5 linked regions of the Ovis aries genome follow. The protein of the gene in region 2 purifies or fractionates together with the protein of the main gene of each other region. This does not show direct contact. Links are inferred from orthologs where the notes say so. Each region holds a gene or a part of one and is shown on either strand. Other genes may lie near its edges.

The links.
Region 1: the proteins of LGALS3 (region 2) and SLC12A7 purify together in Homo sapiens (affinity purification with mass spectrometry; 3 studies listed by BioGRID and IntAct, counting the BioPlex papers as one, with this or other methods). This does not show direct contact. The link is inferred for Ovis aries from reciprocal best matches to the Homo sapiens genes LGALS3 and SLC12A7.
Region 3: the proteins of LGALS3 (region 2) and SLC12A2 purify together in Homo sapiens (affinity purification with mass spectrometry; 3 studies listed by BioGRID and IntAct, counting the BioPlex papers as one, with this or other methods). This does not show direct contact. The link is inferred for Ovis aries from reciprocal best matches to the Homo sapiens genes LGALS3 and SLC12A2.
Region 4: the proteins of LGALS3 (region 2) and ECE1 purify together in Homo sapiens (affinity purification with mass spectrometry; 3 studies listed by BioGRID and IntAct, counting the BioPlex papers as one, with this or other methods). This does not show direct contact. The link is inferred for Ovis aries from reciprocal best matches to the Homo sapiens genes LGALS3 and ECE1.
Region 5: the proteins of LGALS3 (region 2) and SLC15A4 purify together in Homo sapiens (affinity purification with mass spectrometry; 3 studies listed by BioGRID and IntAct, counting the BioPlex papers as one, with this or other methods). This does not show direct contact. The link is inferred for Ovis aries from reciprocal best matches to the Homo sapiens genes LGALS3 and SLC15A4.

Annotation. Positions count from the first base shown.
Region 1 is NC_056069.1:71,334,563-71,340,316, forward strand, and holds part of SLC12A7 (solute carrier family 12 member 7), read left to right. Parts: intron 1-110; coding exon 111-322; intron 323-1,624; coding exon 1,625-1,792; intron 1,793-3,387; coding exon 3,388-3,486; intron 3,487-4,235; coding exon 4,236-4,293; intron 4,294-4,585; coding exon 4,586-4,760; intron 4,761-5,202; coding exon 5,203-5,321; intron 5,322-5,414; coding exon 5,415-5,513; intron 5,514-5,754. UniProt on the Homo sapiens protein: Mediates electroneutral potassium-chloride cotransport when activated by cell swelling. May mediate K(+) uptake into Deiters' cells in the cochlea and contribute to K(+) recycling in the inner ear.
Region 2 is NC_056060.1:65,685,008-65,690,761, reverse strand, and holds part of LGALS3 (galectin-3), read right to left. Parts: intron 4,157-5,754; 5' UTR 4,153-4,156; coding exon 4,135-4,152; intron 2,672-4,134; coding exon 2,324-2,671; intron 1-2,323. UniProt on the Homo sapiens protein: Galactose-specific lectin which binds IgE. May mediate with the alpha-3, beta-1 integrin the stimulation by CSPG4 of endothelial cells migration.
Region 3 is NC_056058.1:23,540,062-23,545,815, forward strand, and holds the end of SLC12A2 (solute carrier family 12 member 2), read right to left. Parts: intron 4,004-5,754; coding exon 3,868-4,003; 3' UTR 1,139-3,867; downstream 1-1,138. UniProt on the Homo sapiens protein: Cation-chloride cotransporter which mediates the electroneutral transport of chloride, potassium and/or sodium ions across the membrane. Plays a vital role in the regulation of ionic balance and cell volume.
Region 4 is NC_056055.1:245,113,175-245,119,526, reverse strand, and holds the start of ECE1 (endothelin-converting enzyme 1), read right to left. Parts: upstream 3,607-6,352; 5' UTR 3,244-3,606; coding exon 3,085-3,243; intron 2,426-3,084; exon of another isoform or gene 2,368-2,425; coding exon of another isoform or gene 2,317-2,367; intron 2,085-2,316; coding exon 1,998-2,084; exon of another isoform or gene 1-1,997. UniProt on the Homo sapiens protein: Converts big endothelin-1 to endothelin-1.
Region 5 is NC_056070.1:48,375,832-48,381,585, reverse strand, and holds part of SLC15A4 (solute carrier family 15 member 4), read right to left. Parts: intron 2,151-5,754; coding exon 1,982-2,150; intron 1,561-1,981; coding exon 1,483-1,560; intron 823-1,482; coding exon 654-822; intron 1-653. UniProt on the Homo sapiens protein: Proton-coupled amino-acid transporter that mediates the transmembrane transport of L-histidine and some di- and tripeptides from inside the lysosome to the cytosol, and plays a key role in innate immune response.

The sequences.
Region 1 (5,754 bases), on a different chromosome or scaffold from region 2:
CTCTGTGGCTGAGTGGAGAGTATCAGCAGCTCCTCCCCAGAGACCCCTGAGCTGCGCTGGTTACAGAGGGGGACAGTGAGCAGAGGCTTTTCACTGCCCGCCCCCACCAGGGTCTGTCTGCTGGGGAACCGCACGCTGTCCCGACGTGGCTTCGACGTCTGTGCCAAAGTCCACACCGCCAACAATATCTCGGCGACCACCGCACTCTGGGGCGTTTTCTGCAATGGCTCCGCGGACAGCACTTCCTGTGACCAGTACTTTCTCCACAACAACGTCACCGAGATCCAGGGCATCCCGGGTGTGGCCAGCGGAGTCCTCCTGGGTGAGTGTCCCCCCCGGTGAGTGTCCCCCTGCTGAGTGTCCCCCCGGTGAGTGTTCCCCCGGTGAGTGTCCCCCCCGCTGAGTGTCCCCCCGCTGAGTGTCCCCCCCGCTGAGTGTCCCCCCCGCTGAGTGTCCCCCCCGCTGAGTGTCCCCCTGCTGAGTGGCCCCCCCAGTGAGTGTCCCCCTCTGGGTGAGTGTCCCCCCGGTGAGTGTCCCCCCTGCTGAGTGTCCCCCCCGGTGAGTGTCCCCCCTGGTGAGTGTCCCCCTCTGGGTGAGTATCCCCCCTGCTGAGTGTCCCCCCTGGTGAGTGTCCCCCCGGTGAGTGTCCCCCTCTGGGTAAGTGTCCCCCCTGCTGAATGTCCCCCTCTGGGTGAGTATCCCCCCTGCTGAGTGTCCCCCCCAGTGAGTGTCCCCCCCCCGGTGAGTGTCCCCCTCTGGGTAAGTGTCCCCCCTGCTGAATGTCCCCCTCTGGGTGAGTATCCCCCCTGCTGAGTGTCCCCCCCGGTGAGTGTCCCCCCTGCTGAATGTTCCCCTCTGGGTGAGTATCCCCCCTGCTGAATGTCCCCCTCTGGGTGAGTGTCCCCCCTGCTGAGTGTCCCTCCCTGGTGAGTGTCTCTTCCTGGGTGAGTGTCCCCCCCTGAGTGTCTCCCCTGCTGAGTGTCCCCTTCTGGGTGAGTGTCGCCCCCGTTAAGTGTCCCCCTGCTGAGTGTCCCCCCCACTGAGTGTCCCCCCTGGTGAGTATCCCCTTCTGGGTGAGTGTCCCCCCTGCTGAGTGTCTCCCCTGCTGAGTGTCCCCCGCTGGTGAGTGGCCCCTTCTAGGTGAACATCCCCCCCAGTGAGTGTCTGTCCTCTGGGTGAGTGTCCAGCAGGTCCCTGCTGGTGGGCATCCACGCCCGCTCCTTGGGGCCCTGTCCTTCTGTCCTCCTGGTGGCCGTGTGACTGCGTCCCCCATTGCTGACCCTCTGGGCCCCCCGGGCTAGTGCTCCCCAAGCTTAGACGCCGTGGAGGGGGCAGGTCAGGCCCCGGCGTCATGCCCCCAGCTCTTGGCTTGCGGAGCAGCAGTCGGGGGTTAATGAAGAGGTGGAGGGCGGCGGTCGGGCAGCGTGTTGGTGCGCAGCTGCTGTCCGTGATGGGTGTCTTCTTCAGACTCCGGCACTGAAGCCTTTGCTTCGGCTGTCAGGAGACGTTATTTTCTCTGGGCTCAGTTGCTCTGAGTCCGCGCCCCTGTCCAGGCAGGGTCAGCGTTGGGGAGCTGAGCCCTGGGCCAGTACTGGGGTCTTGTGAGCCGCCCTTGCCCCCGCAGACAACCTGTGGAGCGCGTATGCAGACAAGGGGGCGTTCGTGGAGAAGAAGGGGGTGCCCTCGGTGGCCGTGCCGGAGGAGGCCCGAGCCCACGGCCTGCCCTACGTGCTAACCGACATCATGACGTACTTCACCATGCTGGTCGGCATCTACTTCCCATCCGTGACTGGTGAGGCCCGAGTCCGGGGGTCCAGCACACGCCGCCCCCCCCTTCCCCTCCTCCGCCGCTGTTTCTCCTCCCGCCGGTCAGGGCCCCCCGGCTCCCACACACGCCCCCCTCTCTGCCCCCGCGGGTCAGGGCCCCCCCTGCCCCCGTCCCCATCCCTGCCCCCGCGGGTCAGGGCCCCCCCTGCCCCCGTCCCCATCCCTGCCCCCGCAGGTCAGGGCCCCCCCTGCCCCCGTCCCCGTCCCTGCCCCCGTGGGTCAGGTTCCCCCGTGCCCCCCACCCCCGTCTGCCCCCGCGGGTCAGGGCCCCCCCCCCGGTTCCTTTTGGCTCAAGAAATGAGCCGAAGGGTCTCCACTCCCCATCTGTCCCGAGTCGGGGGCCTGGGAAGCTTTGTGGCATCAGGCAGGTTCGTCCACGCTCTCCTGAGAGGCCAGGCTATGCAGAGAAGCCCCGTGACCTTGGTGCTGGCAGCGGACGCGACCGCTGTCGGAGGCCGCCGTCCTCGTGCTCGCGAGAGAGTCCGCTGAGTCTTCCTGCAGGGACTGGGGTGCAGGCCACCCCCACCCCCACGCGTACGCACACACACACTTGTCCGTAGGTTCACGCGTGTGAGTACACGCACACACACCTGCTCCTGGGAAGCCCTCAGCCTCGCCATGGTCCCCTGGCCCCCCAGCCAACTGAGCAGCCTGTGGTGGTGTGTTGGTCCCTCCTGCTCCAGGCTCCCCAGAGCCGGTCCACACACACTGGGGAGGCTGGCCTGCTGGGGACCGCTCCCCTCCTGCCCGCGGCTCAGAGCCGGGGGTGGACGGGCATGTGTCTAGCCTCCCCGTGGAAGTGGGTCACACCTCACTTAGGCGGTAGTTGGGCTGGGGTCCAGCCCCTCGGGGGTCCTTCTCCCCGCCTGTCGGTGATGAGGGCATAGGAGCCTCCCCCGTGGGTGCGGGTGTTTCCACGCCCCGTGGCACCGGACCCACAGGCTCTGCTCAGGCCTCGCCCGGGATCACAGGCGCTGACAGACGTGCGTCCGTGAGGACGTGCTCTGAGCTCAGGTGGACTCTAGAGTTTATGTGCTGGACAGAGCGATGCGGGTGGAGGTGGAGGCTGCTCCCTGCAGGGGGTGTGAGGCTGAGGCTGGGCCATGCACTGACCCAGGCCTGGCCTGGGGGTGAGTCAGCGTTTGGCAGCAGCCTCCAGGGACTTTCTCACTCCCAGCTGCGGGGATTAACGGCGTTCAGGGGACGAGGTCCGAGCTGGATGCTCACAGAGGCTGGCTCTGGCATTGGTGCCCGGGGCTGAGCCGTGCTCTGCTCTGTGCCGTGACTTGGTTCACGGCCGGGCGGCTGATCCTGCGGACACTGTCGGGGACCTTAGGGTGCCCACCCGCGTGTCCTGCAGTCTCGCGGCGTACGGTGAGGTCCAGGCCAGTCTGTGAGGCCCAGCGTGCCGACAGCTGCCCCGTGCAGCCTGGGGTCTCTCCCATACTTTGTGAGGAAGCCCCCCTGCCCCCCACCGTGCTTGGACTCTGCCCGACGGGGCTGGGCGGGCGGCCTCTCCCAGGTGGGCCCGGGAACCATCACCACTCTCTGTTTCCACAGGCATCATGGCGGGCTCAAACCGCTCCGGGGACCTCAGGGATGCACAGAAGTCCATCCCCACGGGGACCATCCTGGCCATCGTGACCACGTCGTTCATTTGTATCCTCGGGGGTCAGTGTGGGGGCCGGGCGTGGGGGCCCAGTGTGGGGGCGAGCCGGGCGTGGGGCCGAGCCGGGCGTGGGGCCGGGCGTGGGGGCCCAGTGTGGGGCCGAGCCGGGCGTGGGGCCGAGCCGGGCGTGGGGCCGGGCGTGGGGGCCCAGTGTGGGGGCGAGCCGGGCGTGGGGCCGGGCGTGGGGGCCGGGCGTGGGGACCCAGTGTGGGGGCCGAGCCGGGCTTGGGGGCCGGGCGCCTGTACCGCCCTCCGCTTGTGGCCGCGCCCTTGGGGCCTCCTCCAGGTGCCCCCACCCCTGCCTCCAGGCAGTGTCGGGCTGCCCTGACCGCACCCCCGCCCTCGGAGGGGCTGGGCTGGCCTTGCCCTGACCCCTGGACTCCAGCCTGGGTTGGTGAAGAGCGTGGCTCTGCCTGGGGGCCGCACGTGAGCACACGGCTCTGTGGTGCGTGACCACGTGCAGCTGTGTGTGCGCTCGGCGCCACGCTTTTGCCGAGCGGGGGTCCCTGGTGTCGCCGTGCCGGTGGGGCCGTTTCTCCCGAGTTCACGCCTCCCCAGCTGGTGAGGGTTCCCGCTTGGTCCCAGCAGTGGTCGCGACGAGGGCCAGGCCCGTCCCGACTGACCCGAGGTGTTCCGTCCAGGGGGGCCGCGACCCGAGTGGGGTGGGCAGGCGGGGGCTGGTGCGGGCCCGCCTGTGGCCAGCGTGTGCTGCCTGCCGCGTCCTTGACCCCAGCTACAGACCTGTCCTGCATCGTGCTTTTCGGCGCCTGCATCGAAGGCGTGATCTTGCGAGATAAGTACGTTTCGCTCATGGCTTGCGGGAGCTCCTGGGCCAGCTGGTTTCTTTGATGACTAGCGTTGAGACTGGGGAGGGCAGGGTGTCCAGCCTCGCGTGTCAGGGTGTCCCAGCGGCCAGCGTGCTGGGGTCAGGCCTGTGCATCCCTCCTGTACTGGAGCCTAGAGCCCACACCGCGACCCTGGCCTCCAGGAGAGCTGGGTGCAGGGGCTCCGGGGGGCTGTCACGCCCTCTCGGAGGCTGGGAGGCGGTCTCTGTTCTCAGCTGCACTTTGGAAACTCTTGCCCCCTCAGGTTCGGGGAGGCCCTGCAGGGGAACCTCGTCATTGGCATGCTGGCCTGGCCGTCGCCCTGGGTCATCGTCATCGGCTCCTTCTTCTCCACCTGTGGGGCCGGCCTGCAGAGCCTGACCGGGGCCCCGCGGCTGCTGCAGGCCATCGCCCGGGACTCCATCGTCCCCTTCCTGCAGGTGAGCGCCCCCCATCATGTGTGAGACTCCCCCCCCGCCAGGAAGCCTGCCTCTGAGGGCCTGGGGTCTGCCCCTGAGCGCAAAGCCGGGGGACGTAGGTCCCCGCCTCCAGCCTGGCCGCCCCACCCCGAGCCTGTGTTCTCGTCTTGCTCTGTGTCTGCCCCAGGCTCTGGGTTTCCCATCCCGGACCGCATGCGGGAAGGAGGTGGGGGGTAAAGCTTCCTCCCAGGAGCCACGGTCCCCATGGGGCCCTCCCAGGCTGTGCCCCCAGCCAGCACTCGACGGGAGCCCCGGGCTCCGCGCTCTGGCCTCTCCTGGCTGTGGCTGTGTGGGGTCCGTCCTGGCGTTGCAGCCCTGAGGCCTCCTTTGAGCTGAACGCAGTGTCTCTGCCTCCGGCCCGCACATGAGCGTTCTTCCGGCGCCTACCCCCTGCTCCCGGCAGGTGTTCGGCCACGGGAAGGCCAACGGGGAGCCCACATGGGCCCTGCTGCTCACAGCCCTCATCTGCGAGACCGGCATCCTCATCGCCTCCCTGGACAGCGTGGCCCCCATCCTGTCCATGTGAGTAGCCGCCGGGGGCGCCTGCCCGCAGGGGTGCGGGCGCGGCTGGGAGGACCCCCGGGGCCCGGGCCTCACGCTGCCGCCCGCGCCCAGGTTCTTTCTCATGTGCTACATGTTCGTGAACCTGGCCTGCGCCCTGCAGACCCTGCTCCGCACGCCCAGCTGGCGCCCGCGCTTCAAGTACTACCACTGGTGAGCGCGGGGCTGCTTCTGCCTTCCCGAGGGCGTGGGGGGCAGCCCCCGGGCCCCGGCCGCCCTTCCTGGACCGGGCGTCCCCCAGCCCCGGGGCTGCTTCAGCCCTCGGGACGGCCGGGTGGGCGCGCCTCAGCCGGCACCAAGGCTCGGGTCCTCCTGCTGGGGCGGGGGAGGCCTCCAGGTGGCTGCTCGGGCGCTGGCGAGGGGCCGGGTGGTGAGTGCCGCGCTGCCGCCGCCC
Region 2 (5,754 bases):
AGGCCACCTTACCTGCCTTCTGAGCAATCTGCATTTAGGTCAAGAAGCCACAGTTAGAACTGGACATGGAACAATGAACTGGTTCAAAATTGCAAAAGAACTGGTTCAAAATTGCAAAAGGAGTATGTCAACGCTGCATATTGTGACCCTGCTTATTTAACTTCTGTGCAGAGCACATCATGTGACATGCTGGACTGAATGAAGATTGTTAGGAGAAATATCAACAACCTCAGGGGCTTACCTGGTGGTGCAGAGGTTAAAGCGTATGCCTGCAATATGAGAGAACTGGGTTCGATCCCTGGGTCGGGAAGATCCCCTGGAGAAAGAAATGGCAACCCACTCCAGTATTCTTGCCTGGAGAATCCCATGGACGGAGGAGCTTGGTGGGCTACAGTCCACGGGTCGCAAAGAGTTGGACACGACTGAGCGACTTCACTTTCACTTCACTTCACTCAGATATACAGATGATACCACTCTAATGGCAGAGAGTGAAGAGGAACTAAAGAGCCTCTTGATAAGGATGAGAGAGGAGAGTGAAAAAGCTGGCTAAAACTCAACAATCAAAACAACTAAATCATGGCATCTGGTCCCATCACTTTATGGCAAATAGATGAGGGAAAAGTGGGAAACTGGCAGATTTTATTATCTTGGACTGCAAAATCACTGCAGATAGTGACTGCAGTCACAAAATCAGAAGACTCTAGCTCTTTGGAAGAAAAGCTATTAAAGAGTAGAGACATCACTTTGATTCCAAAGGTCTGTATAGTCAAAGCTGTGGTTTTTGCAGCAGTCATATACGAATGTGAGAGTTGGACCATAAAGAAAGCTGAGCACCAAAGAATTGATGCTTTTGAATTTTTGGTGCTGGAGAAGACTCTTGAGAGTCCCTTGGACAGCAAGGAGACCAAACCAGTCAATCCTAAAGGAAATCAACCCTGAATATTCATTGGAAGGACTGATGCTGAAGCTGACATTCCAATATTTTGGCCACCTGATGTGAAGAGCCTACTCATTAGAAAAGACCCTGATGCTGGGAAAGATTGAGGGCAGGCGGAGAAGAGGGCAACAAGGGATGAGATGGTTGGATGGCATCAACAACTTGATGAACATGAGTTTGAGAAAACCCCAAGGGGTAGGGAAGGACAGGGAAGCCTGGTGTGATGCAGTCCATGGGGTTACAAAGAGTCAGACTCGACTTAGTGACTGAACAAAAACAAGACTTAACCACTAGATTCTGGGGTTCCTCCTCTTCAATCTCTTTCCCACTGCCTCTTCCTTCCAGAATTTCCATTTTCCTGTCTAAACTGACTACCTGTGTGTGGTCCAGGTCCTGCGCATCGCCTCTCATGCACCTAATGCTGTCTCTCTGCTCTCCTCTAAGCCGACCAATAAGCAGAGCAAATATTCCCTGTGCCATCACACTCCTGAAAGGGGCTGATCTCACACTGCTATTGAACTCTTTTCTCATATATGTATCTTTTCTCACAGCTAGACTGTTTGGAGATGTGTCGGGAGCCCCCAGAGTTGGGTTTTATGGTTAGAATTCATTTATTAAAATGAGTTTTAATATAAATGAAAATTCAACCCTTAGATCACAAAATTATCTTTAGAAGGTTTTTAAAAACCAGATTACTGTGGTTGCCCCAAATTTCCCCTCTATGACCATGGGAAGGTTGTATAACCCTTTATTACCCTATTTCCTTATTTGTAAAGTGGCGATAATAATAGTATCTTACAGGGTGCTTATGGAGTTGAATGAGAGCATCCATGTATAAGCAAGCACTCAGCTGGTACATGTTATATATTCAGTGTTTATCAGTAATAATAACAACCATTACTATGATCTTGATTTATATTAAAGCTGCTCTACAGATGCCTTCAAAACATATATTGGCTTCTCTTTAAACTAACAGTACATATACTAAACACCGGAAACTAATTTTTCTATTGAACCAACATACACTGTGCCTGGTCCTTGCAAAATGGCTCTAAGCGGTGAGTTTCAAGCTTCAGGTCTCCCGAAGCCCTCTGCAGGTCACCAGTGCCCAGCGCCAGCTTCCAGTCAGAGCACTACAAAGTGATGACACTACCGCTCCAGAAAATTACCATTTTCTTTCTTTTTTAAATATTTATTTATTTGGTTGTGCTGGGTCTTAGTTGTGGCATGTGGGATCTAGTTCCCTGATCAGGGGTCAAACTCAGGCCCCCTGCACTGGGAGCATGGAGTCTTAGCCACTGGACTGCTAGGGAAGTCCCAGCCGTGTTCTTTATTAACTTGGTCCCAAGCACATTGAAGTTTACTAAATGATTCACTCCATCTTACCAGGGGTCCAGAAGGGATGCCATAGGGGCTGGCAGCAGGGTAGGCAGGAGGTGGGTAGGCCCCAGGTCCGGGGTAGGCACTTGGTGCAGTTGGTCCAGGATAAGCAGGTGCTGTTGGGCCAGGGTAGGCCCCAGGAGGTCCCTGTCCAGGGTAGGGGCCAGGAGGTCCTTGTCCAGGGTAGGGGCCAGGAGGTCCTTGTCCAGGGTAGGGGCCAGGAGGTCCTTGTCCAGGGTAGGCCCCAGGATAGGCTGCTCCTGGGTAGCCTCCTGCCCCAGCAGGCTGGTTTCCCCATGAACCAGGCCAACCTTGGGGGTTTGGTTTTCCAGACCCAGCTAAGGCATCATTAAGCTGGAAAAAAAGACATTTAAAAAATTATAGGATGAAGAACAATCACAACAGAATTTTCAGGAATATGTGATCTAAGAATTAGAGGGATGTGGTGAAGATACGAAATTCACATCAATAAAGTTTTTCCAACCTTTTAGTTTTGAATTCCTAAGACTAAAATTTGACTATGGTATTATACATGCTTTATCACTTTACTCTTGCCTCCCATCATCTCAGATCACTGAGGGTTGCCTTTTTGTAATCTGCATTCTCTATGTAAAAGCACATACTTTCTAACTGACATGGGAAAAAAAAAAGTCACCAAACTCAGTATACTCTTGGGCTGCAAAACCTGCCACCAAGCTGGCCCTGGTTGTGTTGGCCTTCCCTTTGCGGGATGTCTACTGCACTTTGGGTACGCCAGGTAAGTTACCACTTAGTGGCATCCAGGCTAGTACCAGAGAGGCTGCCTTGTACACAGGGAGAAGCCTGCGATGTGGAGTCAGAAGACTTGGTTTAAAATTCAGTGCCATCCATCAAGAAATCCAGTGTTATCGATCAAGAGCTCCAGAGTTTCAGAGCTATCGTGTTGCCTGTATAGGACTTAGTGTCTTTGCTTGTAAAATGGGGATAATGACCTATTTCACATGATCGTTGTGACAAGCAAGTGAGGCCACATTTGGGACGGCTCTTTACAGACTGCGACACTCTGTGCCAGCGTTGGATTGTGTCCTTTCTCTCCAGGACGAGACTGCTTTCTCCCTGCCTGTTTTCTACAGTGTTTAGCACGCTGCCAGGTGGTACATGGAAGATGCCCAGTAAAGGCTTCTCCATTGACTGAATATGATCTGCCAGGATTGTCTCTGATGCATTGGGAACACAACCCTAGACCTGGTGTTGGGGCAACACAGTGAGGCTGTGAAGGGAGCCCATGTGTCCTGGGGGAGGGGGAGAGAGAAACTGAGGGCTCCGTGATGATGGAAAGCAAACTGGATTTAGAAAACAAACCTGAGCAGAGCTCATGGCTCTAGGTGACGTGTCATTCCATTAGGGAATTGGGGAATACATAAGTATGCTAATAGGAATTCGTTTTGGCTGCTTCTTACTCCAGCATTTGGGAAGGGAGAAGGAGTTGAGGGCACTTTAGGGTTAAAAAAAATCAGGTTGCTCAGAATGAACCACACTGCCCTTTGCTCAGTTGGCTTCTCAGCTCCTGCCAGCAGAATCCACCAGCTTCTGTCCTAGGCCTTTGGTAAAGGGGTTACTGTTAGTGAGGCCTCTCTCTGCCTGGCTTTCTTCCCAAACCTGTTGCTGCAAAAACAAGACTCCACCTAACAAGCCCTCATTGGACAGATGAGGCCAGAGGAAGCCACGAGGTGGGAGAGTTAAACAGGAAACTTGAGCGGTTAAAAAACAAACAAAAAACCCTCATCCTGCATGAATGTATATATATTAAGGTAGGAAAACAGACATAAAACACTTACCGAAAAACCGTCTGCCATTTTCCTGAAAGGAGGAAAAAAAACAGGGGTTATCACTTGATCCTAAAAGATTTCACTGATTTCTGTGTGAACATCACAAACAGCTCATTGTGCAGGTCAAGTCAATGTACAGGCATTCTCTTAACACAAACAAGTCTGTTCTCCAAATATGCCAAAATCAATGGTGGGGAACCACAAAAATGTCTCAAAGGGTGAGGATGCTCTCCACCTGAATCACCAGGCCCTATTTAACTCATAGCTGAACTCTAATCACACTCTCTTGTGGCTGAATCCTGGAAGTAACAGGCTATACAATACAAGTGGGAGAGCAGGAAGTACAATACTCTGCCCTTTCCTAGGTAACAAATGTAAATGGTCCTGGTTTGTCTTTGGTTCTCCTTCACCTTCCTTCCTGTGCTCTTTTTTTCCACCACCTCATAAAAAGTGTTCATCAGATGAATCTCGCCCACCTCTCCTCCGGTTCTCAGTGATAGCCCCACACCCTCTTCTGGGTTTTAGGAGGAGGCCGTTGGTTCTTCCTGCTAGTGTTTGAAAGATAGTCTCTGCCTTGCCCGCCCCACTGCCCAAGCCATAGCTGCTGCTGCTGACTTATTTCTTCATTTGCACACATGTGTGCCTGTTCTGTGCCAGGCACTGGGCAGGCTCAGGTCTGGGTTTGCAGACGGAATTGGCTAAGATATATCATCAAAGGGTCCAGAGGCCAGAAAGGGTCACAAGTAATGGGTGGTGCGAGCCAGACTATGTGCTACGAGAAGTCACAACTGGAAAGATGACTTCCAACAGGGATAGTGTTGAGCTAAACCTTGAAAGGAAGGTGAGACTGGGGATATGAAGCAATAGCAAAGAAAGGCGAGCACAAGATGTACTTTTTTTAAAAAAAGGTGTTTGTTATTCCAAATGAAAATATCTGGCAGTATAACAAACCAAGGTTTTTTTTAAAAAAAAGACAATTTGGAGAAAAATATTTTGGGGTAGGATGCTACCAAAGAGGGTTGGCCTTGCCCAAAGCTGCCTCAGTGTGTGGCCATGAGACCATCACTCCTGCTTCTCTGGCTCCTCCCTCAGTGCCAGTTCCCAACAAACAAGATGTTCTACACTTGCTCCCGGAGCTGGTGCTCTGGCGGTGAGGAGAGGAGGGCAGCTTGGGACTCCTCAGGCCTGGGTTATTTTCTCCGCCCAGGATCACCTGTGCTATGGTCAAAGTTACCTGGATCTTCAGTAATCAGAATCTTTTTCCTTAAGCTGTCTACATGTGTGTGCTGAGTCACTTCAGTCATGTCGGACTCTTTGCTACCCTATGGACCCATAGCCCACCAGGCTCCTCTGTCCATAGGATTCTCTAGGCAAGAAAACAAGTAGGTTGCCAAGCCCTCCTCCAGGGGACCTTCCTGAGCCAGGGATCAAACCCACATCTCTTACATCTCCTGCACTGGCTGGCGTGTTCTTTACCACCAGCACCACCTGGGAAGCCGTAAGTTGCCTACTTGTTAAAGTTATTCAGTTATTCTAAGAAATGATCCGTTAAGTGGTGGCTACTTGATAGGTCCTAAAAATACAAAATACTAGACTTTTTGGTAAAACAAAAGCAGACAAAACGTCCTC
Region 3 (5,754 bases), on a different chromosome or scaffold from region 2:
CAGTACTTTCTGATGAGTGTATTCTAAGACTTATGCTGTTTAAACCATTATTTTGATGTTTTAACTACTTGTTTACCCAAACAGTTAAACATCAAACTATCATCTATTTCCTCTAATCCTATAAACATCCTGTTGATACATACATATGCATCCTGCTGATGCATATCAAAGCATTTATCTTTTATTCCCCAAATAAAAACAAAAAACTCTGCTGGCTCAAAGACTTAATTACATTCCTGTTTTGAAAACCACTGGATGCTCTGATAGTAAATGTCACAATCATAGCTGCCTTTTAATTCTCTCTTAACCCTCCCTCCTATTCCACGAAGAAGTGAGTAAACTTGAATAGCAGCTTTATGAGGAATAAGCAAAAAGCAAAGATCATACAATGGACACTTATATTTGTTTCAGATCTATTAGGTAGCCTGTGGCCAGTATACACTTGTAACTGTAATTTGTATTACCTGAGCACAAACTTCCTGGGCAGGTAAGTATGAGTAGTTTGGAAATGACCATTCTAAACCAGTAACTAAGTTATGGATCAGGCAGCAGTGACTGCATAATGGTGATATGCGTGAAGATGAAAGAACTGTGTTCTAGACCAGTATCCTTTGTTGATTTATCACATGATCTTGGGAAACTCGCTACAATTCTCCAAGCTACTTTCTCAAGAGTAGAAGAGAAAGAAACGGCTGTCCTGCACATATAATACACCTACTGTAATGTTCAAATGGTAAACGGAAAATGCTTTGTAAAACTGTAAATTAGCTTTGCCAAAAATCTTAGCAAGAAATGAATCAGATTAAACTCAGGGACTGTGAATCCATTTCTACTTTCTTCACTCATAAACACATGATTTAACCAAAAGACAAATAAAGCAGAATTAGAAAAGTTAAATGATTTACAAAATATCAAAATGAGCTGTGTCTGATATAGCTCAATCTGTCAAGAAAATTAGTGATTACTCCAAAGGTTTAAGGATAGTGAACAACTTCAAACAACTTTTCCAAACAATGAATATTAGGGTAAAAGCCATTTTAAAAAACTCAAGACATCCATGAAATAAGTTGTATAAATGAGGTAAAAATCACAGAGTTGATATAGATTTATAAAATGGATAAAATAAATAGACATTAAATTGTTTTAATGAATCCACTTCCTTTATTGCAGTAACCTCTGTACAAAGCAGCAACTGCAATACTCAACGTTAAAACATTAGAAAAGCATTTGTGTGACAGTTATAGTACAGTATTATCAAAATATTACATTTTCAAACTAGTAAACATCCACCAGAGCTCAAATCTTTAAATTATTTTTCCATAGTCTTTAAAAATATGTAATGTCAGAAAGCATAAAAAAAGAATGTAAAAGGAAACCTAAAATACAAATGAAGTAATGTGACAAATAAATATGTGATTTAATTAACTGTTAATAATCAGCTTAACACCACCATTCTTTAAACCCACTGAATTTTTACCTAGAGAAATAATGAACGGTCATATGCCATTGCATAACTGTTTATTTCCATGTTATCACCAATGATTAGAACTTAAAATTTTTGGCATTAAAATAATCAAATTCAGCATAAATGAAATAGAGTAGAATAGCTTCAACATTAGCTAACATTTCTAGGAATTAATTGTTACAATTTATCAGAGCACAAAAACAACCTTGAAAAATTTGACCTGGTATCTAGTGTTAAGTAAAAGTAATGCATTTCCTTTTAAGTGAAAAGCTTCTTACGTTATTTCACAGACAATATTACCCTCCCCCATTATGTATATTTAGATATATTTAATGTACTTTATACACATATGTATGATGCATGACATTTGGTTCCTGCAGTACAGATCACAACGAGGTTTTCCTGAATGGGAAAAACTTAAAAAAAGAAAAAGTAAGTGTACCTGTGCACATTTCAAGATAGCAGCACTCAGTTATGCCCTATTATCCATTTAAAAAGTTGAGACATGACATTGTTTACTGAATCTGACATTTTCACTGTCTTTCCTCTTAAACAGTACAAAACCTCCAAAAAATGGTACAATGGTGTGAGTTATAACATAGGAAAAAGTTTTTAGGAAAACAATTACCTCATTCTCTTAGCATTCTGAATTTAAAATTACTATCAGATCTCTGTTATGATATTAACTTAGTTCATACTCATGCAGCAAAGATATTGCACTACTGAACAACAGTAGTAATTTTATAGATTTTTATCGAGATTCATGAACACCTACATAAATTCTTCACCAGTGAAACCTATACCAGTGAATACACTGAAGAGTACTTTAGGTGAAACATTCTCCATTTCCTAATCGAATGATAACTGTGTGAAGTTACATGCCCTTCCAGTGATCACATTTGTTCTCCATGAAACCTGTCTTTCAATCTGTGAACTCATAAACAAAAAATTTAATATGATAAATCTTAACACTTTAAAATACAAAAAACCATTGTGTCATTATAAATACACATATGCATATGTGTATGCATAAACATATATACACACACACATACAGATATGTAGACATACAATCCCTTGAAATGTTTCTAGGAAATCCTTCCTTGAATAAAAAACAAAAAACTTCACATTAATAATTGCATATAAAGCTTTTAGTAACAGTACATATGCACTGTCCAAATTGTACTAGTAGACTATGATGTCAAAACAGACTTTTCAAAAGCACAAACTGGCAGTTTTTCTTAACACAGAAGTTTTAAAGTATTAAGAATGGATTAAATTTAAATGTCCAGAATAATCTGTTCAAACCTGAGTATATTAATTAAGACTATTTACTTGACAGTTGAATGAATTAAGCCTAAAAACATTTCACTAAGAAACCAGTGGTCCATTTAACCATTTGATGAAACATTAAATATTTTAATGATTTAAAAAAGGATGATATAGTGATATTCCATATATTTATTGAAATATTCTATTAAATGACAATGCTTTGTCTAATTTTAACCAGGAAAATCTTTTAGCATTTTGTAAAAGTCCCTCAGATTTGAGGAAAACTCTAAATTAGGACAGATCTTTCTTCTAATAAATATAAATGGTCTTAAAGATTTTCTTTAAAGAATGACAATATGTGATTTTTCAGGATGGTGTATAGAAGTACTGGATAAATCTTCAACCTCCCCTAAGGATTCAAATAATAATAATCAAAAAAGATATAAATAACAGCCAATTAGAGGTTTTTAAAAAAAGGTTTATTGGGCTTTTTTCCCCCTAGATCTACATTTATACATCCTAATGCAAACCTAACCTTGGGGTCACTTTTCGATTCTCAGTTTTACCCTTGCATTTTCACTAACTAGCCCTAATTCTCGCCTTTAATAGCTAACAAACACATTTACAAAAGTAATAGAAAACATACAGTACTCAACACTAATTGGTCAATGGAAAAAGAAAAGCGGTGTCCATTTTAAGGTGGGAAAGATTAGAAATAAAAATAGTGGAAGGCAAAGTTTGACATTCTACAAATTTATAAAAGAGGATATATGGATGAAATTTGGTTAATTTCAGAAGGCACCTCAAGGCTAAAGGCTTTTTGTACTCCTTTCATCAATCAAAAAATAACATACTTTTATTGCTATTCAAGTAGCAAAGGAAAAACTTTACTTTCACAAGCTTCAGTCCAACAAGGAATCATCATTCACTAAGACTGAAATACGGAATTGACTAAAACTGAAGTCTCCACACATATATCAATGGAGCAACTTCCCTGTGTGCTTTCAAATCAATGAAATAGTGAAAAAAAGTCACAGTTCGCCATTGTGATGTTGAAGATTTCAGTGATAGTTACTTCACTAGGCACTGAAGTACCGTCTGGAGGGCTGTCCACTGTGCAGATAAAACACTTAAGAATAGAAGGTAAGGACACTCTGATGATTCCCACGGACTAGGAGAATTGGTGGCAGGTCCTTGGATAGAGCTTCTAACCATGCCATGTAGAGAGCACTAGACACAGCACCTTTTCTTGCAACTGGGAGACTCCTGGTATTAAAAAACAACAGGAAATTAAACAATGTATTTAAGCTAAGAATAAAATAATAAAAACAATAAGTCACAGTAATAGTAACTAAAAATTACTATAATTACAGTATATACTGTAACAACTATACTATACCATATATTCCTATTTTTTTTTTCAAGTTTGAACAAAGTATTTCTTACAGTATATCTTAAGAACAGCAAATTTTTGTTGTCCAGTCACTCAGTCGTGTCTGACTCCTTGTGACCCCATGTACTGCTTCCTTGTCCTTCACCAACTCCCGGAGCTTGCTCAAACTTGTATCCATTGAATCAAGGGATGCCATCCAACCATCTCATCCTGTCATCCCCTTCTCCTCCCACCTTCAATCTTTCCCAGTACCAAGGTCTTTTCTAATGAGTCAGTTCTTTGCATCAGGTGGCCAAAGTATCAGAGTTTCAGCTTCAACATCAGGCCTTCCAATGAATATTCCAGATTGATTTCCTTTAGGATGGACTGATTTGATCTTCTTGCAGTCCAAAGGACTCTCAAGAGTCTTCTCCAACACCACAGTTCAAAAGCATCAATTCTTCAGTGCTCAGCCTTCTTTATGGTCCAAACTCACATCCATACATGACTACTGGAAAAACCATAGCTTTGACTATATGGACCTTTGCCGGCAAAGTAATGTCTGCTTTTTAATATGCTGTGTAGGTTAGTCATAGCTTTTCTTCCAAAGAGCAAGCATCTTTTAATTTCATGGCTGCAGCCACCGTCTGCAGTGATTTTGGAGCCCAAGAAAATGATATCTGTCACGGTTACCATTGTTTCTCCATCTATTTCTCATGCAGTGATGGGATTGGATGCCATGATCTTAGTTTTTTGAATGTTGAGTTTTAAGCCAACTTTTTCACTCTCCTTTTCACTTTCATCAAGAGGCTCTTTAGTTCCTCTTCACTTTCTGCCATAAGGGTGGTATCATCTGCATATCTGATGTTATTGATATTTCTCCCAGCAATCTTGACTCCAGCTTGTGCTTCGTCCAGCCTGGCATTTCGCATGATGTATTCTGCATACAAGTTAAAACAGCAGGGTAACAGTATACAGCCTTGATGCACTCCTTTCCCAATTTGGAACCAGTCCGTTGTTCCATGTCTGGTTCTAACTGTTGATACTCAACCTGCATACAGGTTTCTCAGGAGGTAGATAAGGTGGTCTGGTATTCCCATCTCTTCAAAAATTTTCCAGTTTGTTGTGATCCACACAGTCAAATGCTTTAGCACAGTCCATGAAGCAGATGTTTCTCTGGAATTTTCTTGCTTTTTTATCATCCAGTAGATGCAGGCAATTTGATCTCTGGTTCCTCTGCCTTTTCTAAATCCAGCTTGAACACCTGGAAGTTTTTGGTTCACATACTGTTGAAGCCTAGCTTGGAGAATTTTGAGCATTCCTTTGCTAGCATGTGAAATGAGTGCAATTGTGTGGTAGTTTGAACATTGTTTGGCACTGCCTTTCTCTGGGATTGGCATGAAAACTGACCTCTTCCAGTCCTGTGGCCACTGCTGAGTTAGTATCTAAAATTAAACCTCAAATCTCCCCTTAAAATTGTTTTAGGAGAAAGGGATATTTCTATCTGAACTTTGGTAGTGGTAACTACATACAGATGAGTGAAATTCAAACATAATTGATTCTACATATTAATGTTCAATTTCTTGTACCTATCTCTGAGCTTTCATTTTCATTTATAGGTAGTGGAAGTATGTCCAGTTGCTCC
Region 4 (6,352 bases), on a different chromosome or scaffold from region 2:
AGTATGCAAAATTGTTATACTGGAAAACTTCCCTGTGATTAAAGACATAAAATTCCTAGAAAACTCTGTAAGATAAGATGAAAAGGTTCTCGACTCTTATAAGAACAATCGTTAGCTAGTCTGCTTTGGGGAAGTCGTGGAGGCTCAAGGAAAGCCGGGCTGGGTACCTACAGAAATGCCTCCAAATCCTTGGGGCAAGCATTTGGGCTTTTCCTGTAGTAAAAGTGGACGATATACCCCGTTGGGTGGTTTGGTGTCGGGGCACCAACACTGCATTCCAACCGCATGACAGCTCTGTGACCACAGGAATGTCCCTAACCTCTCTGAGACTCAGCTTGGTCATGTGTAACGCAGCCGCAAGAGTCCTTACCTCACGATCACAAACATAACAATGCTGGCAGGCCCCGAAACGTGCATCACAGTCATTCTCTTAACTCCCATTGTGCAGAGGCAGGAAGAGAAGCTTAGATCGCCCAGGATCACAGGCGGTGTCAGATTCACACCTGGGGCCCCCTCACCCCGTCTCAGAGCCCCGGGTGCCTCCCCTGTGCCAGGCGGCCTCAGGCTGACGAGTCACTTTGTGGCCTGAGAAAGTCTATACCCATGCGGGCTGCCACAAGATGATAACAGCACAGCACCCTACTTCGTTGTGAATTCCGAAACGCTTTTGTGCTGATATATTTAGAACCTTCTGTGAAAGATGAGACTGAAAAAGACGGCTGATTAGATTCTGTTTTGATTCGGGAAGGCAAAAGCGCCTGCCACGGGAATCTAATTTCCTGCTGGATTTAGCCTCTGCAGAAAGGTCCACGGGGAAGCGGCTCTAGACAGACTGGGTTTGGTTTCTTACTCCTAGAATTCTAGCTCCAGTGCACCCAAGGCAAGCTGTCTCCCCTTTCAGAGCCTCAGGTTCCTCATCTGTAAGAGGGCGCTGTGAGGACAGTAACTCACGGGGCTGCTCCTGAAGGCTGAGTGGGACGATGTAGGTGAGAGAGTCCCGTTCCAGTGTGTGCAGACCGCTCAGGGCCGGGTTTGGCCTCCCCAGGGCCTACTGAATGAGTGTCAATCAGTGCCGTTTCCCTTTACTAGTATGATCCCAGCTTCTGAGAGGTGCGCCGAGCAGAACTGGGCCTGGCAGCCCAGGTTTCCACACAGCCTACGCTTTCCCTCTGGGGGCGGCTTCTGAACTGATAGCAGTCCCTGCAGCAGGCCTCCCCGGGTCAGCCTGGCAGAAGCCTCCTAGACTGTGCTGCTCGCCAGGTGTCAGGTCACAGGGCCCCCTGGGCATCCTTCGGAATTCCCAAATTCCTCAGGTCCACCTGTTTCAGTTCACACCCAGCCGGGGTTGAGGTCCTGGTCTGGACCATCCCAGCTCAGTCCCTCCGGGAGGCAGAGGTGGTGGGCACATTTGAGCCCCAGGGGGCAGAGCCTGGTGGGGGAGGAACTGGGCTTCCCAAGTAGAGGCTGGAAGGGGCAGGGAGAGAGGGAGCAGAGGCTGGGCTCCAACCCCCAGGACACGCGGGGTTTGGGGGAAGAAGAGGAGGAAATGTGGGGTAACGTCCACCAGACAGGATGACCAATCACCCCCTGTCTGCCCAGGACTGACAGGGTTCCGGGACTTTCTACGCTACAACTGGGAGGATTTTATGCTCTGCCTAAAACTCTGGGCAAGTCTCAGCACTCAGGGACTGGCCTCCTCCCTCTGAAGAGAGAACTGGACCAGCTCACCCCTCCAGGATGCTTCTTCCACTTGGCCGCCTGAGTTGTAACCCAGTAGCAGGTGGTCCGGAGGGTTTGGGGATGCGTGAAGGTGGGGCGGGGAGGCCCTTTGGGGAGCCCAGCGCCTCAGGGGTATTGCTAACCCAGAACAGGCTTTTCTTAACCCACGGAGCCCAAGGGCTGGCGGGCTGGCACGGGCCCCCTCACGCCCCGGTGGCAGGCAGGACGGCCGGGTCGGCCAGGGCTGGGGAGGGCGCTCAGAGCGCCGGGGCGCCTACCTGCAGGTGGTTGGGGTACACGTCGCCCTCGGACAGCGAGTCCACCAGGTCCTCCTCGTCCAGCGTGGCCCGCTTGTAGGTCGACATCTGCAAAGTCAAGTGCAGCACCGACTCTCTTAGCGCCTCCATGGCTCACCACTCCCGAATGGGGAGAACGGGGAAGCGGCCACCCGTCGCCTGCGCCGCCGCCGCCGCGCCCCGCCCCGGCCGGGACACCGGGACCGGCCCACGGCCAGGCCCGCGCCGGGGGAGGCGAGGGGGGTCCCGCCTCCCTCCGCCACCCCCGCCCCTTCCCCGCTTATGCAACCCCGCGCCTCACCCCCAGCGCCGACAGCGCCGCGGCCACCGGACGCGGCCACAGGCTCCGCATGGTGCGCCCGCGACGCCCGCTCCCCGCCGGGTGCCCGCCGCCGCGCGCCCGCGGCTCTGGCCGGGGAGGGCCGGCCCTGGGGCTGGGCCCGGCCTCGCACCACCTCCGAGGGCGGAGCCTGGCCCGCGCAGCTCCGGCCCCCTCCCGCGCCGCGCCGGGAGACCGCCCCCCACAGTCACCCGGGAGACGGAGCCTTCTCCCCCTTCCCAGAGGCTGGGGGGCGGGGTGGGGGTCGGGGAGAGGCCCCTCCCGCTTGCAGGCAGGAAGGGGCTCGCGGCCACCCTTCCTTCTAAGAAACATGAAGTCCTCCTTCTATAAACCGTGGTGGCAGATGCCAAAAGGCAGGTATTAGGAAAGGGCCCCTAGTTTGGCCGCAAAAGTCAAGAGAGGTTTCTCTCGCCATTGACCCTTAGCTGCGCCAAGAGCGGCCTCCCCCATGCGAGCTAGAAATATTTGGGGGAAAACACAGACACACATAGACACACAGACACACACACAGACACACAGACACACACACACAGACACACACACACGGAATAAAAATGGCATGTGCCTCCCTTCTCATTTCCCCCTTCCTTTAGTTCAGTGGTCTTTGAGCCAGAGTTCACAATGATCTCAGAAAATTCCAGAGCACTCTCCTGACTTAGAATGAAAAATGTTCTGTGCATGCTGGAGGGAAGCCTGTGCTTGGCTCCAGGCTCCAAGGTGTGATCTTACCTCCAAAACAGGAACAGCTTTGGGGAGAGCGGACAGCCAGGAACAGGACCATTTCCTCCACCTTCCCTCAGAGGTGGGGCGCTCTGGACGCCAGGCTCTCTCCCTGCCCCTCAAGGTCCCAGAAGAGCCTACCCAGCAGTTGCCCAAAGGACCCTCCATGTCTGGTGGGACCTGGAAGCCCCCGCGTTAATACATTTTTTCTCAGCTTTCCAGACCACTCCCGTTCCCTCTCATAGCTGACTTCACAGATGCATGAAGGAACAGGCAGAGAAGGCTCAGTGACACCTGGGGTGACAGTCTCGGTGAGCTCCCAAGGCTTCACCTCCTGCCTTCTCACCGCCTGCTCTGCAGCCAGAGCCCAGCCTTCAACAGGAAACTCTGGTCCTGCCACCCTTGCTCCCAATTCTGTGGGGACAGCCCCCTTACTGGTCCCCCGTGGCCCCTGCCCACCCTGCCCCTTTTCCCACCTCCCTGCCTCAGGCTGCCGCTTCTCCCGCCCTCCCTCTGTTCCTCGGATTCCCCGAGTGTCTCCTGCCCTCGAGACCTTTATAGCACTGTTCCCTCTGTCTGGACATGTCTCTGTTCCTCCCGTGCTGGCTCCTGTTGCAGACAGAGGTCAGCGTAAACGTCACACCCTCAAATGTCCCAGCCACCCCGAGCAGAACCCAAATTATCGATCATGGCAACCCGTTTTACTGCAGTCTGTGACTTATTTATGCTGGTTTTTAACATCTGTCTCCTTCCCCCTCCCCCAAATTGTGAGTTGTATCAGGGCTGGGACCTTGTCTGACACAGAGAATCCCCATCAGCTGCCATAGCACAGGAGCTCTAAACACTGTTAAAATGAAACGAGAACAAGTGAAAATTACTCTGGGGAAGGGCCTTGAAAATGCATCTAATTTTGCAATACCCAAGGACAAGGAGAACATGTCTGAGGACCTTAGGGAGGCAGGGCCTGCAGGAAGCATTTTAATTCTGGGTTTTTCTGTTCCACTCCCCCTGGGTGCAGGACTTCCCATTACCCACCAGAGAAACAGAAAGGGCACGGCAGGCAGCTACTGTTTCCTGGGGGCTTAGAGGGACAAGGTATTTGTTGGTTCTTTTACATTCATCGTCTCATTGAAGCCTCTGAAGCAGGTATCATCAGTCTCTTTTACAAGATCTGAAACTGAGGCTTGGGGAAGTAACTGGCCCAGGTGTAGTGAAGCAATGGCTTCTCCTTCCGTCTTAACTCAGAGATCAGCCGTTCTGGAAAGCTCTCTAGACCAGTCTTGTCTGACCCCAGGCAGCCTCAGGCCCCCTGAGCTGTGTCCTCTGCCTTCCCCCACCCCTCCCCACATCCCACGTTTCCTTCTACTAATGCACACAGCACCTTAATTAGGAGACCCTAGAAGAGAGGGCTGGGTCCTGTGAGCCTCTACATCTGCAAAGGCCTAGAGTGGGGCTGGAGCTCCCATGGGCATCTGCACGAAGGTGAGAGGCGAGGGAGGAGGCTGGCAGCCCATCCCACGGGCCGAGGCCGGCCTGTCCATGCAGGGATGACCAGGGAAGATCACCTACCTCTGGAGTAGAAATCCGAGGAGACCGAGAGCTGTTTATTTTTCAGCACACAAAAGATGAGGGGCCCTTCTCGAGATGCTGCCTGCCCCGGGGCCGGGGAGTAAAACTGAACCCGACTCGGAAGTGGGAATGGCTTAGCCTCGCTGCTCCGTGGGGAGCACTGTGGGCCCCAGTCACCAGGTGGCATTCCAATGACGGGGGCGGGGGGGGCAGCGCTGGGTGGGGGCAGCCCTGTCTCTTACCCGCCCGGTTCTGGGTGGGGCCCTCCGATCACTGTCTTGTTGGGTCCCCACACCCACCAAAGCCCCGGCCTTGGCAGGTATCACTTCTCTTTCATGGGAGATGTGGGAGGGGGCCAGGCACGGAGAGGGACTGGGCAGAACAACGCTGACGCTGAGCCGCTGGGCCCCAGGCATCTGTATCCCTCCTGACCCTGGGAAGCCCACCCTGCGGTGGGATCTCCACCTCCCACTTCCACTTGGCAGAGGAGACTGAGGATGGGGGAGGCGGCACCCCCCTCCCAGTCTCCCCCAGCCCTCCCACAGGTCCCCTCCCTGGCTAGAGAGTCAGAGAACCGGGATGGGAGTCCTGGCTGCCCCAGCCCACCGCACCGCCTCCAGAGAACCTCAGGCACTCAGCTCACGCGGGCAGAGCAGGACCTGGACTGTGGGGCCTCCTGATCTTTGCAGAAGGAGAGCTGCTGCTCCAGGCGGGGACGGCATGGACTTCAGGGACACTGAGTGGCAGGCCAACCAGGGCTGTGCTTCCTAACAGCCTCGTCTGTGGTCGTGGGGACACCCCCAAGCCAGGGAACTTTAGGGAAATGGACGGACAACTGCGGCTTTGTGGGGAGATGCTGCCTTGATCTGCACGCTCCTCTCCCGGCCCCGCTGAGCGGTGGATGAGAAGTGAGGGCCTGGAGTTCGTGAGAAGGGCTGGGAGGAGGCCAGGAGTGGAGCAGTGGGAACCACGGTCCCCAGATCCATCACACACAAGGTGATGAAAGACAGACAGATGGAGGGTGTGATGGTCCCAGCTCTGGAAACCCCGCCCTGTGGAAATCAAAGGCCTGGGCTGAAACAGAAATGAGAAGTGCTGTAAACGCTCCTGTGTTTCTGATGACAAAGGCCTCCAGGCTCAGCGGCACCGGGTGTGACCTCACTGGGCCATCTTTCCTAACCATGTCAGTCACTCCGATGACTTCTGTGTTGGTTTGCCCAAAGGCGGGGGATCTTCCAAGAAACTGAGAGCTCGTCAGAGGCAAAAAAAAAGAGCAGCTGTGAGTGAAATTCGGTGAAATTCGGAGGCTTGGGACTCCCTGACCACAGCCCACAAGTTGTTTTCACATTCTAAGTCTCCGCTTCTTAGAGACACTGCCCTATGGCCAGAGCCCCCATCGGTTCTTGCCTTTTGTGCCAGGAATTAGTTGAGATCTGTTCAATCCTTATGTGTATGTGTGTTCAGTCATGTCTGACTCTATGTAAGCCCACAGACTGTAGCCCTCCAGGTTCCTCTGCCCGTGGAATTTTCCAGGCAAGAATACTGGAGTGGGTAGCCACTCCCTTCTCCAGGGGGTCTTCCTGACCCAGGGACTGAACCTGTTTCCTGTGTCTCCTGCAACTGGCTTCCCTGGTGGCTCAGAGGGTAAAGAATCTGCGTGCAATACAGGAGCCCTGGGCTTGATCCCTGGGTTGAGAAGATCAGAGTC
Region 5 (5,754 bases), on a different chromosome or scaffold from region 2:
TTTCACTGGCTACAATTCTTCAAGGAAAAAAAATAAGGACTCGTTGGTGATCAGGTGGCTAAGACTCCAGGTTCCCAATACAGGAGGCCTGGGTTTGATCTCTAGTCAGGTAACTACTGGAGAAGGTGATGGTACCCCACTCCAGTACTCTTGCCTGGAAAATCCCATGGACAGAGGAGCCTGGTAGGCTGCAGTCCATGGGGTCGTGAAGAGTTGGACACGCCTGAGCGACTTCCCTTTCACTTTTCACTTTCATGCATTGGAGAAGGAAATGGCAACCCACTCCAGTGTCCTTGCCTGGAGAATCCCAGGGACGGGGGAGCCTGGTGGGCTGCCGTCTACGGGGTCACACAGAGTCGGACACGACTGAAGTGACTTAGCAGCAGCAGCAGGTAACTAGAAACCCATGCTGGAACTAAGAGTTCACTTACCACAACCAAAAAGCTTCCACAGCCAAATAAATAAAATACATATTTTAAAAAACGTAAAAGAGCAAATCCTCAGAGAAAAATCTTAAACTTCATATACTACTCCAGTTTAATAAAATAATCCTTATATGTACACGCTTCCTAAAGAACACATGAGTGACTACCATATTCTGAATCACCCACAACGGGAAGCAGGTAGGAGCAGAAACGGAGCTGGCTTCTCACCTGCGGCGAAGGCTGAGCACATCACGAAGAACATCCCCACGGCGATCCTTTTCAAGGATGATGGGAGCAGGCCATTTCGTTTCAAGATGGGATCGACTAGTTTATCTTTCAGGGGAATTAACAGGAGGATGAGCACAGCATCAAACATGGTCAGCCAGGCTGCCGGAAACTAGAATTTGGAGATGCAGAAGACACGGGCTTATTTTTCTGCGGTGTCAGCAGCTGCTTACTTGACAACTAACGTCTAAATGGGAAAAGCTTATTTCAAAAACAGCTCATTTGTACAAGTATGACCTCCTAGGAAAATAGTCTGTCTCAAGACACTGGATCTGAGGAAAGGCTTTCATTTCTAAAAGGGATGTGATTTGGGTTTTCTGTGCTTTCTGGGGGGAAGAAACGGGTCAAATATTCATGTTTAACTGACAGTAGCAACTTAGTTTGGGCTTCCCAGGTGGCTCAGTGGTAAAGAATCTGCCTGCCAAGCAGGAAACGCAGGTTCAATCCCTGGATCCAGATGGTCCCCTGGAGAAGGAAACTGCAACCCACTCCCGTGTTCTTGCCTGGAAAGAGCCTGGCAAGCTACAGTCCATGGGGTCGCAAGAGTCGGACACGATTTCTTGACTAAATAACCACCACAAAGTCAGTTTAATCTAGTAAAGGACATAACCAACAGAAAGATAGTTTCAGAAGTGAGCAAAAATTCCATTTCAATAGGAACATGTTTAGTTCAAGCTACCTATATCATTTACAAAGTATCTGTGACTGGCAGAAGAAATTCTGTCACGTAAACCCCCAATGACAATTTTCACAAAATTTCAATTGTTCTCACCGTATGAGGATTGGTTGTAATACTGGAAATTTCTGGAATCTTCAAATGAAGACTCTGTAAAACATACGTCGTCTGCATCTGGGTGTAAAAAGCAGTGTCATTACACGTGCACGGCTGTCACAGGCCTGCAGCGAGCCGCCCCGCCCCCAGAGTACTCTGTGATGAGACTCGCAAAGGTCAGGTTGGCAAATGGGCAGGTCAATCTCTTGGCCACCATAAAAGTCATCTGATGGTGAACTTTAAAAGAGAAGTAACGACTACCCCACTGAGAAATTAAAAGGTGGGGCCTGGAAAAACAGAGGTATGCCCATTCTTAGCTTCATTTTTAAAAAGGTTTTCAAAACATTTAAGTCCACAAAAATGAGTCCATAACTAACATCAAGACTCCAAGATCCTGGAGACTTATGGCAAGGAAAGCAGGGAACCCAGGCACTTGAGTGCCGGGGCAGTGTTCACGGTGGGGGGAAGAGAGGAAATGAGACCTGAATATAAGACTCACTTGAAAATACACTGTCCAGTAAGGTATCAAAGCCAAGAAAACGGGGACAATCTTGACAAGAGCTTTCACATCTTCCACTTTATCTTCCGGGAATGGCCCTCCTCGAGACATCTTACATGAATCAAACAGACTGTGTTTAGAAGATTGCTGAAAGACTCCAATGCCTTCACTTTGGGAAATAAAATGAAGGAATTAGTTTTCTTCCACCCCCAGAAATCAGTTATTTGGTAACAAATTAGGTTTGGGGATAGGAAATGAGCTTGCTGCACTGAATCTGCTCAAACCCCCTTCCGTTACCTACTAATCGTCGCCTACCCAATGTGGCCACCCAAATTACTCCTCAAAACAGGGAGACGTCCGGAATCAGCAGACGGAAGCGCTTCCTAGCCAGAGTGCGATGCTGGCCGCCATCACGGTGGGATCACCCAGCGCTGTCTGGAAGGTGGCCGACCTCATCCCCAGCTTTGTCACACTGGCCACTGGTCCTGTGGTGTGGAGGAAGCCTGCAGCTTCATCTGAAGCTGGTGACACCTACATCAGCTACATCACCGGGTGAGCATTTGAAAAGACCACTGTCCCGATTGTTTGGGCCTTAAATTAGGCTATTTACCAAATGTCAAGCCTCGATGACCAACACAAAACTCTTACAAAACCGAGCTGGTTTACTGTATTGCAGTCACACTGGTGTGACTGGGAGGGAGGGCTCTGTTACAGCAGAGAAGACATCAGCTCTTCTCTTAAGGAAAAGCCGAGACGGGGAGCGGGTGATGCTCCTGGTGATAACCTGACGGTGTCACCTGGGGGAAGATGACAGAGTGCCCACTGGCGAGCCCTGATCACCACCCTATCAGGCACCAGGACACTCATACTAGCATCCCCCTCCCCCCGCCGCAAGGAGGAGGAAGTCAGGGCACAGAGAGGGTAAGAAATGTGCCCAGGGCAACACAGCCAGGGAATGGGCCGGGATCTGACCCCAGGCGGTCCTGGCGGTAGAACCTGAGGTCCCAATCGCTGTACAGCCACCCGTCCCTCTACTTCCGCCCTCAGGCCTCCCCTCCATGCTCCGGCCCGCCCCACAGTCCAGAGTTCTTGGCTGGCTCTGGTACCAGGAGGCCTTCCGGTCCTGGCTCCGGTGCTGGCAGCCCTGCCCACTCGCTCACCCTGGCCTGCCTTACTACACTATTTATAACATGCACAGGTCCCAGGTCTCAGAGGTACCCAACCCAAAATACTCTTAATGGAGAAACAGGCTCTAAGGCCCTTTGTGGTAAAATAGGAAAAAAAAAAAAAGTTTTAATTGCACACCCTTCTCTAAAACCAGAAATAAATTACCATTAAGAATGCTTGCAATTCTGGGACTTGGATATAAATGGGAGCTGTCAGCTTTCTAGTTTATAAACTCCCGACCCATTTGACTGAGTCACCAACTACTGTGAATAATTTTTGTCTTTTAACACTGACATTTTAAATCTGAACTTTCTGAGCATGGAAAAATTGAAAACTATAAAATTTGAACCAAGTTTTGGACAGAAAAAGTAAATGCAACAGACATTTACTGAGCACCTACTATATGCCTCATTCTGTTTCTGAGTGCTGAGGAAACACACATAAATAAAGAAAAGATACATCTCTTGTCCTTATGGAGCTGAGTCTGGTGCGGAAAAATACTTAGAAAAATACACTTAATGTGAAAACACTAAATTCCAAACATATTATTATTCATACTTTTATTTGAAAAAATTCATAGCTTCTCCTTTTTTTGGCCAAAGGCGTAAAGTACCTATAAACCTAATATAGAGTCTATCAGTGATTACTACATCATACCGCCGACGCTTCTCTAAATAACATTCAAATGTGAAACAGCAAATTCACTTCACACACAGAGTCATGAACACAGGTTGCTGGCTATAATGCTTACGTTTTCATATCATTAAAGTATTTTAAAAACTATTTTAAGTCACTACACATCTAAAACTTCGCCCAGGGCACACATTGTTAGTGTTATTATTCTGTAACATACAAGGGTCCAACATGGAGCCACAAGTCACCAACGGCAAGGCACACAGACAAGTGCTCCCTGAGACCCCCGGCCGAGGCTGTGTGTGCAGCTGTGCACCCTCTCCCGGGAGGAGGGGCGGGAGGTGGGGCTGTCAGCTCTCAGATCCTCAACTAACAGAGGCGAAGTCTCTCACAAAGGTGTGGCACTGTTTCCACTCACCAATGAACTGAACTGACAGGCATGGATTTCATGTCTAAAACAGCATTAAAACATCTTCAAAACAGAGACCCCCCTCTCAAAAAAAACAAAACAGAGACCACTTAGAGCAGAAAGAAACTGGAATTGGGCCAGATGAAATCGGCCCCATAAATAAGGGAATGCTGGGTGATGCTGTGCTTCCTTCGCTTCTAGAGCGACATTCTGCAAAAGCATCCTCATCAATTAGTTACCACTGACTGGCCTCTTATCAGCTTACAAGGCCTCACAATGATCCTATGAGAAGGGACCTCTCCAACTGCACAAGAAGGAAAAGCAGGCTCTGCAAGGTCATTGACCTGCCCAAGATCAGACAGCCCCGACCCGTGGATAAGGAGAGTACAGTCAAGAGAATTTGCCAGAGCATCATCTTCTCTACAAGCTGGTCCTCTTTGAATTGTGCCAAGGAAAACATCAAAAACCAACATAAAGGGAAAACAGATTCCCAAGTCCCAGTAGTCTTTACCCCACCATTTGGGCATCAAAACCCACATGTCCACAAAGCAACAGTGTCCTCTTACACAGGTGTACCAGGTATCACCCAGAAAGACACTCTGAAACTTTAATGATACATTTTGCTAGTGGGTATTTAATCTATAGGCCAAACATCTGGGATCTGAATCATGCTTTTGCTGAATTAAAATGAGGCCCCAGTAAAGCACTACTGCCGGCTGCAGAGGCAGCAGGGCTTCAATTGTTAAAAATTCGTCAGTGTGGTCCCACCATCAGCTGCTCTGAATTGAGTCTGAACACGACACTGTATGAGTCTGCGGAGGCCTACCCGGGGACAGCTAAAGCAACCAGAGGTGTTGAGCCTGGAGTGAAGGGGCAGGGCTGTGGGAGCTGTTTTGGTACAGCTTCAGATCCACCACGTGGGAAGAACATGAGACATCTGTGATGGCTCCAAGGACATAAACAGGATACAGGCAGACAAGCCACGAGGAGGCAGACAGACGCGGGTCAGTCTGCAGAACATTCTTGCAACATGGGCCCTCCTGGTGGAGGGGCAGGAGGCTCCCCAGGGCTGAGCAGTCCCTCTCCGACTCAGGGACTGAGCACCCATCTCAATGCCTGTCTTGATCAAAATCCTGAGAGGCTCAGCTCCAAATGGTTCTGAGGACTTTTCTGGGGTGATGGACACATTCTACGTTCTGACTGTAGTTACCTGACAGAATAAATCTGTCATAATTCCCAGAATAGTACAGTTAAAAGGCAAGTCTTTTAATACACGTTAATTTACATGTCAAAAGTAACACCAAAAATTTCTGAGGGCTTTTTGTGAGCTAAGTTCTGGACTTTTCTTCACTACTCTGCAACTAGGGTGACCGAACTTCCGCCAGAGCTTGCCCGGGATTCCCTGGAACCCGGGACTTTTGGCTTTAAAACCTCAGGTCGTGGGCAGACAGTGCTCCACCTGGGAAGTCCCGTGTTAATGGGACAATGGCCTTACCCTACCAGCATCTTAATTCTGCTATCCTGTCCTCAGAGAGCGGCTGACGTGACCACTGGAGGATGGCCC